Linked DNA regions of Daphnia pulex. The protein of the gene in region 1 binds, or shares a complex with, the protein of each later gene. Links are inferred from orthologs where the notes say so. Each region holds a gene or a part of one and is shown in the gene's direction. Other genes may lie near its edges.

Region 1 (4,648 bases):
ACATACAAAAATAATTCGATTAATAATTAATCAAATAATAATAATTAATTAAAAATTACAATGCTATTAGATCGGCTATTAAAGAAACGATGATTCAGAGTAAGCAAATGGGGCGCAGGGAAAACAAAAGCATCAACATTGAAGGCCGTGTCCAGTTTGATCTTCTTCTAGTATTGCTACGTGATTACAAACTTCGTTCCTACACTCTCAATTCGGTCAGCTACCACTTTTTATGCGAGCAAAAGGAAGACGTCCATCATTCAATTATCACGGAATTGCAAGAAGGCAATCCGCAAACTCGTCGACGGTATTCAGTTCAAATAACTTGTATACTTTTTATGTCTTCAACATTTCTTTGAGTCTTACAGACTTGCGGTTTACTGCCTTAAAGATGCCCATCTACCACTTCGCCTGCTAGACAAGCTCATGTGCTTGACTAACTACATGGAAATGGCTCGTGTAACAGGCGTACCCCTATCCTACCTATTAACTCGTGGCCAACAGATCAAAGTTGTCTCACAGTTGTTAAGAAAAGTAAGGAAACTTAAGCTATAAATATTTTAGAAAATCCTTACAAAACTTTTGCACTTTGAATAGGCCAAGGAACAGGGCTTATTGATGCCCGTCCATAAAGCAGAGGCGGGAGAGGAATTTGAAGGTGCGACAGTTATCGAACCTATTCGAGGTTACTACAGTCAACCCATCGCTACATTGGATTTTTCTTCGCTGTATCCTTCCATTATGATGGCCCACAACTTGTGCTATACTTCCTTGTTGAATCCGCGTGACAAGGATAAGCTGAAAGAGGACCAATATATCAAAACACCTGCAGGCAACTACTTTGTAAAGGCCTCCGTGCGGAAAGGACTCTTACCGGAGATTTTGGAAGCACTGTTGGCGGCCAGGAAAAAAGCCAAGAAGGATTTGGCTGTGGAGACAGATCCTCTAAGAAAGAAGGTTCTTGACGGTCGCCAGCTCGCCTTAAAGATTTCAGCCAACAGTGTTTATGGTTTCACTGGCGCTCAAGTCGGAAAATTACCGTGTCTAGAAATTTCGCAAAGTGTAACAGCGTTCGGCCGAATGATGATTGAGAAAACTAGTACGGAAGTGGAAGCCAAGTTTCGCGTTGAGAATGGCTATGCTCATGATGCCAAGGTAAACGAAAAAGAATTGCACAATGCAAACACATTTATCGGTTTCAATTGAATCTGAACATTTTGTAGGTAATTTACGGTGACACAGATTCTGTGATGGTGAAGTTCGGTGTATCTACGGTAGCAGAAGCGATGGTTTTAGGTCGGGAAGCAGCCGAATTTGTATCGGCTAAGTTCATCAAGCCCATTAATTTGGAATTCGAAAAAGTTTATTTCCCCTATTTATTAATCAACAAAAAGAGGTAAATTCTGCTTTCAAATGTACTAATTGCAGAAACGATTTTATAACGGCTTCCTACTTATTTATAGGTACGCAGGACTGTACTGGACCAAACCTGAACAGTTTGACAAGATGGATTGCAAAGGTATTGAAACAGTTCGACGAGACAACTGTCAGCTAGTCGCTAACCTTATCAACACCTGTCTTCAGAAAATCCTGATGGATCGGTAAACAGTTGTCACGCTTCATGGATATCCTAATATAAAGTATACTTTTCCTTTATTTTAACAAAAAAATAATAGAGATCCAGATGGAGCCTTGGAGTACGCAAAACAAACAATTTCGGACTTGCTTTGCAACAAGGTCGACATTTCACTCCTAGTAATTACTAAGGTAACTACTAAGAGAAAATAAAAATATGATTGTCACGTTCCGAGGATGTTTTAAAACTGTTAAGTCTATCGTGTTGGGGTTGTAGGAGCTGACCAAGACGGATAAGGACTACGCTAACAAACAGGCACACGTGGAATTAGCTCACAAAATGCGTAAACGAGACGCTGGTACTGCTCCAAAATTAGGTGATCGAGTCCCTTACGTCATTATTGCCGCCGCGAAAAACACTCCAGCCTATCTCAAAGTACACATTTTTCAGCTCCTTTGAAATTTTTCGTGAATCTGTTAATTGTTTACTGTTATTTTAGGCTGAAGATCCTATTTATGTTCTGGAAAACAGCATACCCATAGATGCACAATACTATTTAGAAAATCAACTTTCGAAACCTCTTGTCCGAATTTTCGAACCAATCCTTGGATCCAAAGCGGAATCTTCGTTATTACGTAAACAGACACAACATTGTGTGAATACATGTAGCGCATATAACCTATTTATTTGTTTAGATGGCGACCATACTCGAACACGTTCAGTTATCACCTCAAAAGTAGGTGGGCTGGCGAAGTTTACTTCCCGCAAATCAACTTGTATTGGATGTAAGACTGTCCTTCCAAATGACAGTGCCGTTTGCAAGTAATAATCATAATAATTTTTCGCCTTTTATTAAATTTCAATATCCTAATAATAAAATTAAACAGATTTTGTAAGCCGAAAGAGTCGGAATTTTATCAGAGAGAAGTTGGTCAACTTTACGCTCTTGAAGAAAAATTCAACCGTCTTTGGACTGAGTGCCAGCGTTGTCAAGGTAGCCTTAACGAGGAGGTTCTCTGTTCAAAGTAAGTTGTATTTGTGTTGTGTATTTGAATTGAGACTCATGTTTTAATTGATTAATTTTTAAACTTAGTCGGGATTGCCCCATCTTTTACATGCGCAAGAAAGTTCAAAAGGACCTTTGTGAACAAGAAAAACTTATGAAAAGGTTTGGCCAACCTTAGTTCTCGTCTAATCTGTCGAAGTCGAATGTTTTTGGCTGTAAATTAAATTCGAAACAATAAAATTTATAAAGAAAACGTTTATTTCGATTCATTCATTTAAGTGTTAAGCCGGTTAAACGAACAAAAATTTTCAGGCAAGCTAAAAAATTCGGCTCAGAATAAAAAACTGCACTGTTACAAAATATTTTGGACGAAAATTTAGATATTTCGGTTCAGTGATAAATTCCTTTTATATTGTGTTACATACTTAACTTATAAATATCCTAATCACCATCTGCCAAGCATAAATCCAAATTTAAAAAAAAAAAAAAAGAAGTAAATTGCGGAAACTGAACGACATTCTTTTTGCGGTTTTCCGAACTCCGTTCCCACCAAGTAGGGATTCCATATAGCATCTCTTGATTTAGTTACAGTTTACAGACGACGGCGACGCTGAGTTTGAACACTACTACATTTTTTAAAAGTTGACCGACTTGACGTCTCTAATTTGTGATCAGATAAACAGATTTTAATTTGTTAATTACCAATTACGTCCTTCCACTAAGCATACTGACTTCATATAAAAAAAATGGAAAACTCCTCTAGAAATGTGGTCGATGACTTAGATTCGACTGTCCTCCGACATCAGGTAAAATGTTCATAACAAATACTTATTAAGCATTTCTTTAAATACTCATTCTTTTTTCTTTGGTAGGTTCAGAGATATTTCAATGAATTAAACCAAGAAGGTGGAAGTCCTCTTAATATGGAGTTTTTAAGTATGAAGAGGAAACCTGCAAGCATGGCTGTCTCTACCTCATCCTTGCGGACTTCTACGTTGGATTCTTTTCTTCCCAAGAAAATTCGCTTTGATTCTAGTGTTACTGGAGAAAGTTCTTTTACAGGAGAATCTTCTCTTTTTTCTAAAAGAAATGCAGCTGAATCGTTCAGCCAATCACTTAATAAGTCAACAAAGCTAGATGTTGGAGCCCAGTATGAACAGAAATTATCAGAAAAACAGGCCAACATTCTTGAATTGCAGCAGAAAATTATCAAGACAGAAATGAAATTGAATAATTTTGTGACAGCCAAGGATCAACTCGAGCATGACCTGTCAAATTTGAAAGAGACATGCAAGACCAAAGTTAAACATTATGAAGATAAAATTGATGATCTTTATGTAAGTTTACTAAAAAAAATTCATTGACTTATTTAAACTAGAAATAACAGATTTTGTTTAGGTGGAAATCAAGCAACTTCATCTAAAAAATGAACAATTGTCTAAAGAAAATCTATTGAAAACAGAAGCAGTTGAGCAAATTAAGTTACTTTCTGCGGAGGAAAAGCTATCATGTAGTAAGGAACTTGCTGTATCAGAACAGAAAATCATTGATATTGAACAAGGGTATGAAGAAAAAATCAAGAAGTTAGAACTCAAATTGGAAAATGCTCTATTGAAAGTAAGTCAATATCAAATGGAAGCAGAGGAAGCGAAAAATCAACTTAAACTTAAAGAAAGAGTGGTGAGCCCATCATCCAACCATCAGGTTGTTATTGAGCAGCAGAGTCAAGTAATATTTGAAATGCAGAATGCACTTTTTGCTCAGAGAACAACTTTTTCTCAATCTCAAGAAGCAAAACTATCTAGAATTCCCCAGGTGTGTGCTTAATTGCAGTTTATGAAACAAACAAAAAAACTTAATATTCTTCCATTTTTTAATTTCAGTTAGAAAAAGAGCTTCTGCAGCTGCAAGAGACCAATAAATTATATCGAGAAACAGCTGCAAATGAACTGCTGTTAAAGGAGAAAATATCTGCCTTGCAGGAGAGTGTTCAAAGATACAAGGAACAGTGTCAAGCTATACCTGATTTACAGGTGATTGTCTACTAATAAAATTACTCTTTGTAT
Region 2 (5,846 bases), on another chromosome or scaffold:
ATTGGTATCCTGTGTTGTTTAGCTCTACGCCAAAGGCGTTGTCTTAATTGTGGAGCAGTTTTTTGAATCAGTCATATAAATTTATTAAACTAATCACCTATTCTTGACCAACTCTAATTCAATTGGGATTTTTTTGAATAATCATAGAATTTGTGAAATCCAAAATTGTCGCGTTTTATCTGATTGTAAACAATATTCCAAATACCCTATGTGAAAAGTGCCTCTGTAATATGAAATGCTATTAATTTCATTTTTAAATGGACAATAAAAAATTACACGTACATGAATAATTCTCTTTGTTTTGTTCATATATTTTGACAGAATTTAAAAATTTTATGATACTCTTAAACAAATAATTATTTTGGTTTTCATAATTTTAATCTACAATATGTGAAACAACAGATAACAAACCAAAATGTTCATTTAATTGTATGATTAACTCTTCCACACTTGGGGCAAACAACATCTCTTTTGTTGGCACAATGTCGGTGATAAACGCTGTAACAGCCCTCACACTGCGTCGCAGAAATTTCGAAGGGGAAGAGTTCCGGAAGTTGACCACATAATCGACATACATGACCTTTACCCCGACATCCCTAATTAATGAAAGTTTTAAACACAAGTAGGAATTGTTAGTTGTAAAATAAAATAAAATACCACACAATCTTGCGTAATATGCATTAAAAATTGATTGTGTATAGGTTCAAGGTAGGATATCAAATCTTTTTTGTCAATGTCCATAAGATCCTATTAAAATATGAAGAAGATTTGTATGAATTTCGAGTACTAGAATTGTTGCTTTGGTTTTACTTACTTGAATACTATAGTAATCAGAATTTTCTACATAATGTTGACGATCTTCTAAAAGCCGAAGTAATTTAGCTTCCAACGCATCTTTGCATGTTAGGATGTATTCCTTCATGATCATAAAATCGCTTCTTAAACGCTAAAAAAATAAAATGTCTCAATTTTTTCTTTGAAATACAGATTTTACTCAACATATTAAATTTACCTTGACATAAGCTAGTTCTTCTACAAAACTAAATAGCTTGGGGTTGATGGTTTCTAAATTGATAATTGATTTCTTCATCATTAAATTTAAGTATTGTTTTGATCCTTTAGAAACTGGATATTCATGAAAGTCCCAATTCAACACTACCCTTGAAGGAATTACACTTAAACTTCCCCAATGACATTCACTGCAGAAGTAATTACCAGAATAATCACATAAGAGGGGTTGAGTAAGGGCAGTGTCTACAACCCAATAAAAATGATAACAGATGTAGTGAGACTAGAATAAACTTAACTTCGAAAATAATCTAGGTATACGATTTAAGGATTTACTTACTGAAGGATATTCCCGCTTTGCATTCAGCACAACGATAATTTTGATTTCTTAAACTTTTCTCTGGACAAATTTCTAGAACGTAGCAAGGATTTTCTTTAACTTTAACAGAAGCGCATATTCGTTTGACACTATTCAGACATTGTCCATGAGATATGTAATCACATTCTAAAAATTAAATAAAAAAATATTAAATCTTGAGCATGAACTCCAACATCATAGAAAAATACCTAAACAAACAAAGCAACTTTGAACTGGTATCCAAATAAGGCCAGAACATGTTTCACAATATATTTGGGATGGATGAAATTTCAACTGTGTTACAGTTTGACAAACAAACTTGTGGCTTTGCACCACCTTCATTTTCTTAGGATCCATGTATATTTCAAGTTCTTGTACTTCTTGAAGTCTAAGTCTCAGCTTAACTAATCTCTGTACTAATAGGCGTTTTTCTTCAGATATTTCCTCCAACGCAAGAATTTTTTCTTTACAAGTATCGATAGCTAGCTGAATGTCAATGGTCTTTTCCATATTCCATACTTCTTCGTGTTGCGAGGAATAATAATTTTCATCCACTGGAAGACAATGCAAGCTACCAGATTCGTCTCCGTTTGAATCACTCTTTTTGGAGGTGTCACTGACAGACATTTCAACACAAACCTGAAAAGACACGAATCACCATTGCATACAAATGCTTTTTTGTTTGTTTGTTCGTTCGTTTTTTTTTTTTTGCGGGACAACTGACACTAATCTTTTGTATCCTTAATTTCTTCTGCTGTGCTGACTGCTGAGTAAGTAAACAATGCAACGCTGTGAGTTCGCATTTATTGTTGTTCGCTTTTTTTTAAATCGTGCAGTAGCGCACCCTCTCGTGTTGTTTTTGTTGTCTGCTGTCTTAGTACTTTTGGCGGGTTCTGTATTCGATTAGAGAAAGAATGGAGGCTGTTCGTTATGAACGCAAAGAACTGGACTATGAGGACTTGTCAAGTACGTTTAAGTTGGTCAATCGTGATTTCAATAGGCAATATGCCGGTATATATGCCGTCAGGCTTACGAAATTTCGAACTTTACTTGAGGAACGCGTTGAAAAGAAATGGGGTAAGAGTCAAATTCCACAATGAGCTGTGTAACCAATAACTGAATTCATTACTTTGTCTTGTTAAGGTAAGCAATATCCCATCAAGAAGCTTGTTGACCTAGTTCCCAATGAAAAGGTGTTGTATTCATTTTTCTTCTCATAAAATTTTCATGGGAATTTCATAACATAATCTTTATAAATCTAAGGTTTTTGTGTTTGGGACCATCTATAAACAGCAAGAACTAAAACCAAGTATTTTAAGAGAAGTCAGTGATGAGGTAATAAGGTTTAAATTACCATCTACATTTTCATGACTTCATTAGTGTATAACTGTATATCATAATTACTCTGTATTTCAGCATCAAGTATTACCACTACCTCCCAAAGCAAGATATGTTTCAGGAACTGATATTCTAATATTGGAAGATGAATTGCAACGCATTTTGCTTGTTGGCAACACAAATGTAGGGGAATTTGTCACTGGGGTTGTTATTGCATTGCTTGGCCATGAAGATGATTCAGGAAAGTTTATTGTTGAGGATATCTGTCCTGCTGACATGCCTGTGGTAGTGAACTCCCCCAAAATTGACTTCAGCACACCTAGGTGCCAATCTTAAAATCAACAGCTATGTTTTATCATGTTACTAATCTGAGTTTTATTACTTTTTAGATTCATTGCCTTAATATCTGGCTTAGATTTAGGAAGTGGTAATGACTCATATTTACTGATGCAAGAAATGATTTTCACATTGATGGGGAAAACTGGGACTCCGGAAGTTCAAGAAATAATGTCTAAAGTTTCAAGATTAATCATTGCAGGTAAAACAAATGAATTAATTCCTGAACTCCTATTATTTCAATTCAGTTCTATTTTTCTTTTTATTAGGGAACTCGTTAAGTTCTGCAACTCAAGATCGCCATATTTTGGACAAAGCAAAATATCTGATGCGCAATAATATGGTAGCTAGCATTGAAGCTGTTCAACAGTTGGATGACATCATTTTCCAATTAGCAGTACGTAAGAACCGAATATTATAAAATAAATTTATAAAGTTGTTAAAAGATCTTCATTTATGTCGTCATTTATGATAACTGCAGAGTTCCATAACCGTGGATGTAATGCCCGGAGCCCATGATCCAGCTAATTTTGTCCTTCCTCAACAGCCATTACACCACTGTCTGCTTCCGCAAAGTTATCAGTTATCTACATTCCATGCAGTTAGCAATCCATATAATTGCCGAATTGGAGGTCGCATAGTCATGGGAAACTCTGGGCAACCTGTTTTGGATATCCTGATGAACTCTTCTCTAGAGCATCCGTTAGACGCCATGGAAAAAACTTTAGAATGGAGACACATGTGTCCGACTGCCCCAGATACTTTAGGTTGTTATCCATACGATGACGACGATCCTTTCATTTTTAACACTTGTCCTGATATTTATTTCGCTGGAAATCAGGAATCATTTGGTGATCGTTTGTGGAAAAGTATGTTTTCAGCAAATAACACATTATTTCTAGGGTATCTTTAACGTATCAATCTCCTAATTTTACAGGCGCTGATGGTCACCCTGTCCGGCTTATTTCATTGCCAAGGTTTTCAGAATCGGGAACCATTGTAATTGTTGACGCGAATACTTTGGAATGCTTCACGCTGAGTTTTGGAACCGATGAAGATTCTGGCGTCGATCATTGAAGGATTAGCTTTCAATACTAGTTAACTAAGCATTATTCAAGATTTTCATGTTTATGCAGATCACGTTTTTGAATGATTGGCAATTCTTTCGGAGTAAAAATAAACTTGGTAATAAAGTATTTTAAATATTTAATAGTAACTTTATTCATTGATTTGTAAAAAAATCACAAAACTCCATCACAATGTAATTTAAACTCTGTTTATTTTAAGTGTTTGTGAAAAAACTAAAAAAAGTTAAAAAATAACAGTTATAGTTGAGTTTAGTCTAACGTTTAGATGTAAGATATTAATATGTGTATTGAATTTCAGGAAATCGTGGACGATCCGGTATACGCACCAACGCACAACGACGGTAGGCCTACATGCAAGAGGAAAAACTATTCAGAATTTGAGTCAATGAGCGAATGAGGCATGCCGGCATGGTATCACAGATTCACAGTCCGATTTAACATATTTTATAATCTCGAAAGGCAACGTTGCTCATTTTGAAGTTCACTACTACTTCTGCTCATCTCTGAGTCTGAGGACTCTGACCAAATTTCTAAGTCAAACTTTCTCCTTATCGACCCAACATACGTGCTACGTGATAGAAAAACCCAGAATACTTCATCACCCTAGAAATCAAAGGTAGTGAATTAAGAACTTACCTTTCTCTGAAATGGACGCCCTTGGAAAGGTATTTATAATTTTTCAACCAAATAATCCTTAAAAAACTTTAAGACTACATCTAGGTATTCCAAAAGTAATGATGAACTCATTTTTGATTCAAGTAAAAAAAATGTCAATTATTGCATTTGACGACGCGTTTGCAACATGCTTATTTATTTAAACATATATATTGTTATTATTGAATTGTGACTATCTTTAATGTGGACCCAATTTCACAATTAAAATTTGATGTAGCTATTAACTACTCTTTCACTATTATGCTAGGCTACTACTTTTTGGATTAAAAATCTTTTGCATATTTGTAGAGCTCTAAATATAATTTTAATTGATAAAATTTTGTAAATATTTGATGTAGAGCTTACCTATTGTCACTGGCATTGGTATTGTGGTTTTTACTGCTGTTGCTGCAAAGTTATATTTCAACTGGCTCCAACCAAAAGAAAAATCTGCCAAACAGAAGGAATTAAAGACACTACTTGATCCTCAAACAAAATATCCTTTAAAATTGATTGAACGCCATGTAATCAACCATGACACCAGGAGATTCAGGTTTGCCCTCCCTTCTCCACAACATGTTCTTGGTAATAGCAATAATCAACTGGTGATGAAGAAATTGTTTTTTTTTTTTTGTAATTAACCCTTTATTAACACTTTTTTTTCACAAGGTCTTCCTGTTGGTCAGCATGTCTATTTATCAGCAAGAGTCAATGACCAGCTGGTAATTCGCGCTTATACCCCTGTATCGTGTGATGAGGAAAAGGGATATTTCGATTTAGTCGTGAAGGTATTGCTAGTTAGCAGTCTGAAAAAATATTAGTAAAAATCGTTTTCTTTTGATCTTTTGATTATTTAGGTTTATTTCAAAGATGTTAATCCGAAATTCCCGGATGGAGGAAAATTAACACAATATTTAGAAAACCTTGCCATCGGAGAATCCATTGACGTCCGAGGTCCATCTGGGTTGTTGGTACACCAAGGCCCAGGATTGTTTGCCATAAAGCCGGATAAAAAATCACCTTCTTTTAATATGGGTTTCAAAAAACTTAATATGATCGCAGGT

Evidence for each region. Proteins that work in one complex are often made in the same cells at the same time.
Region 2: DNA polymerase delta catalytic subunit-like (region 1) and DNA polymerase delta subunit 2-like share a complex: the UniProt entries of both Homo sapiens proteins name them as parts of the tetrameric DNA polymerase delta complex. The link is inferred for Daphnia pulex from reciprocal best matches to the Homo sapiens genes POLD1 and POLD2.

Annotation. Positions count from the first base shown.
Region 1 is NC_060019.1:7,339,180-7,343,827, forward strand, and holds the end of DNA polymerase delta catalytic subunit-like, read left to right. Parts: intron 1-70; coding exon 71-307; intron 308-368; coding exon 369-534; intron 535-597; coding exon 598-1,155; intron 1,156-1,223; coding exon 1,224-1,396; intron 1,397-1,463; coding exon 1,464-1,601; intron 1,602-1,676; coding exon 1,677-1,767; intron 1,768-1,852; coding exon 1,853-2,011; intron 2,012-2,075; coding exon 2,076-2,211; intron 2,212-2,271; coding exon 2,272-2,398; intron 2,399-2,463; coding exon 2,464-2,601; intron 2,602-2,669; coding exon 2,670-2,760; 3' UTR 2,761-2,835; downstream 2,836-4,648. Other genes in the region: mitotic spindle assembly checkpoint protein MAD1-like, read left to right, coding at 3,329-3,388, 3,455-3,919, 3,981-4,397, 4,466-4,615. UniProt on the Homo sapiens protein: As the catalytic component of the trimeric (Pol-delta3 complex) and tetrameric DNA polymerase delta complexes (Pol-delta4 complex), plays a crucial role in high fidelity genome replication, including in lagging strand synthesis, and repair.
Region 2 is NC_060018.1:6,862,551-6,868,396, reverse strand, and holds DNA polymerase delta subunit 2-like, read left to right. Parts: upstream 1-2,221; 5' UTR 2,222-2,280; coding exon 2,281-2,443; intron 2,444-2,509; coding exon 2,510-2,559; intron 2,560-2,629; coding exon 2,630-2,701; intron 2,702-2,782; coding exon 2,783-3,027; intron 3,028-3,093; coding exon 3,094-3,242; intron 3,243-3,309; coding exon 3,310-3,437; intron 3,438-3,521; coding exon 3,522-3,909; intron 3,910-3,977; coding exon 3,978-4,117; 3' UTR 4,118-4,225; downstream 4,226-5,846. Other genes in the region: brain protein I3-like, read left to right, coding at 1-66; differentially expressed in FDCP 8 homolog, read right to left, coding at 420-596, 658-747, 815-946, 1,013-1,254, 1,349-1,513, 1,576-1,993; NADH-cytochrome b5 reductase 3-like, read left to right, coding at 4,776-4,793, 5,142-5,367, 5,452-5,570, 5,640-5,844. UniProt on the Homo sapiens protein: Accessory component of both the DNA polymerase delta complex and the DNA polymerase zeta complex.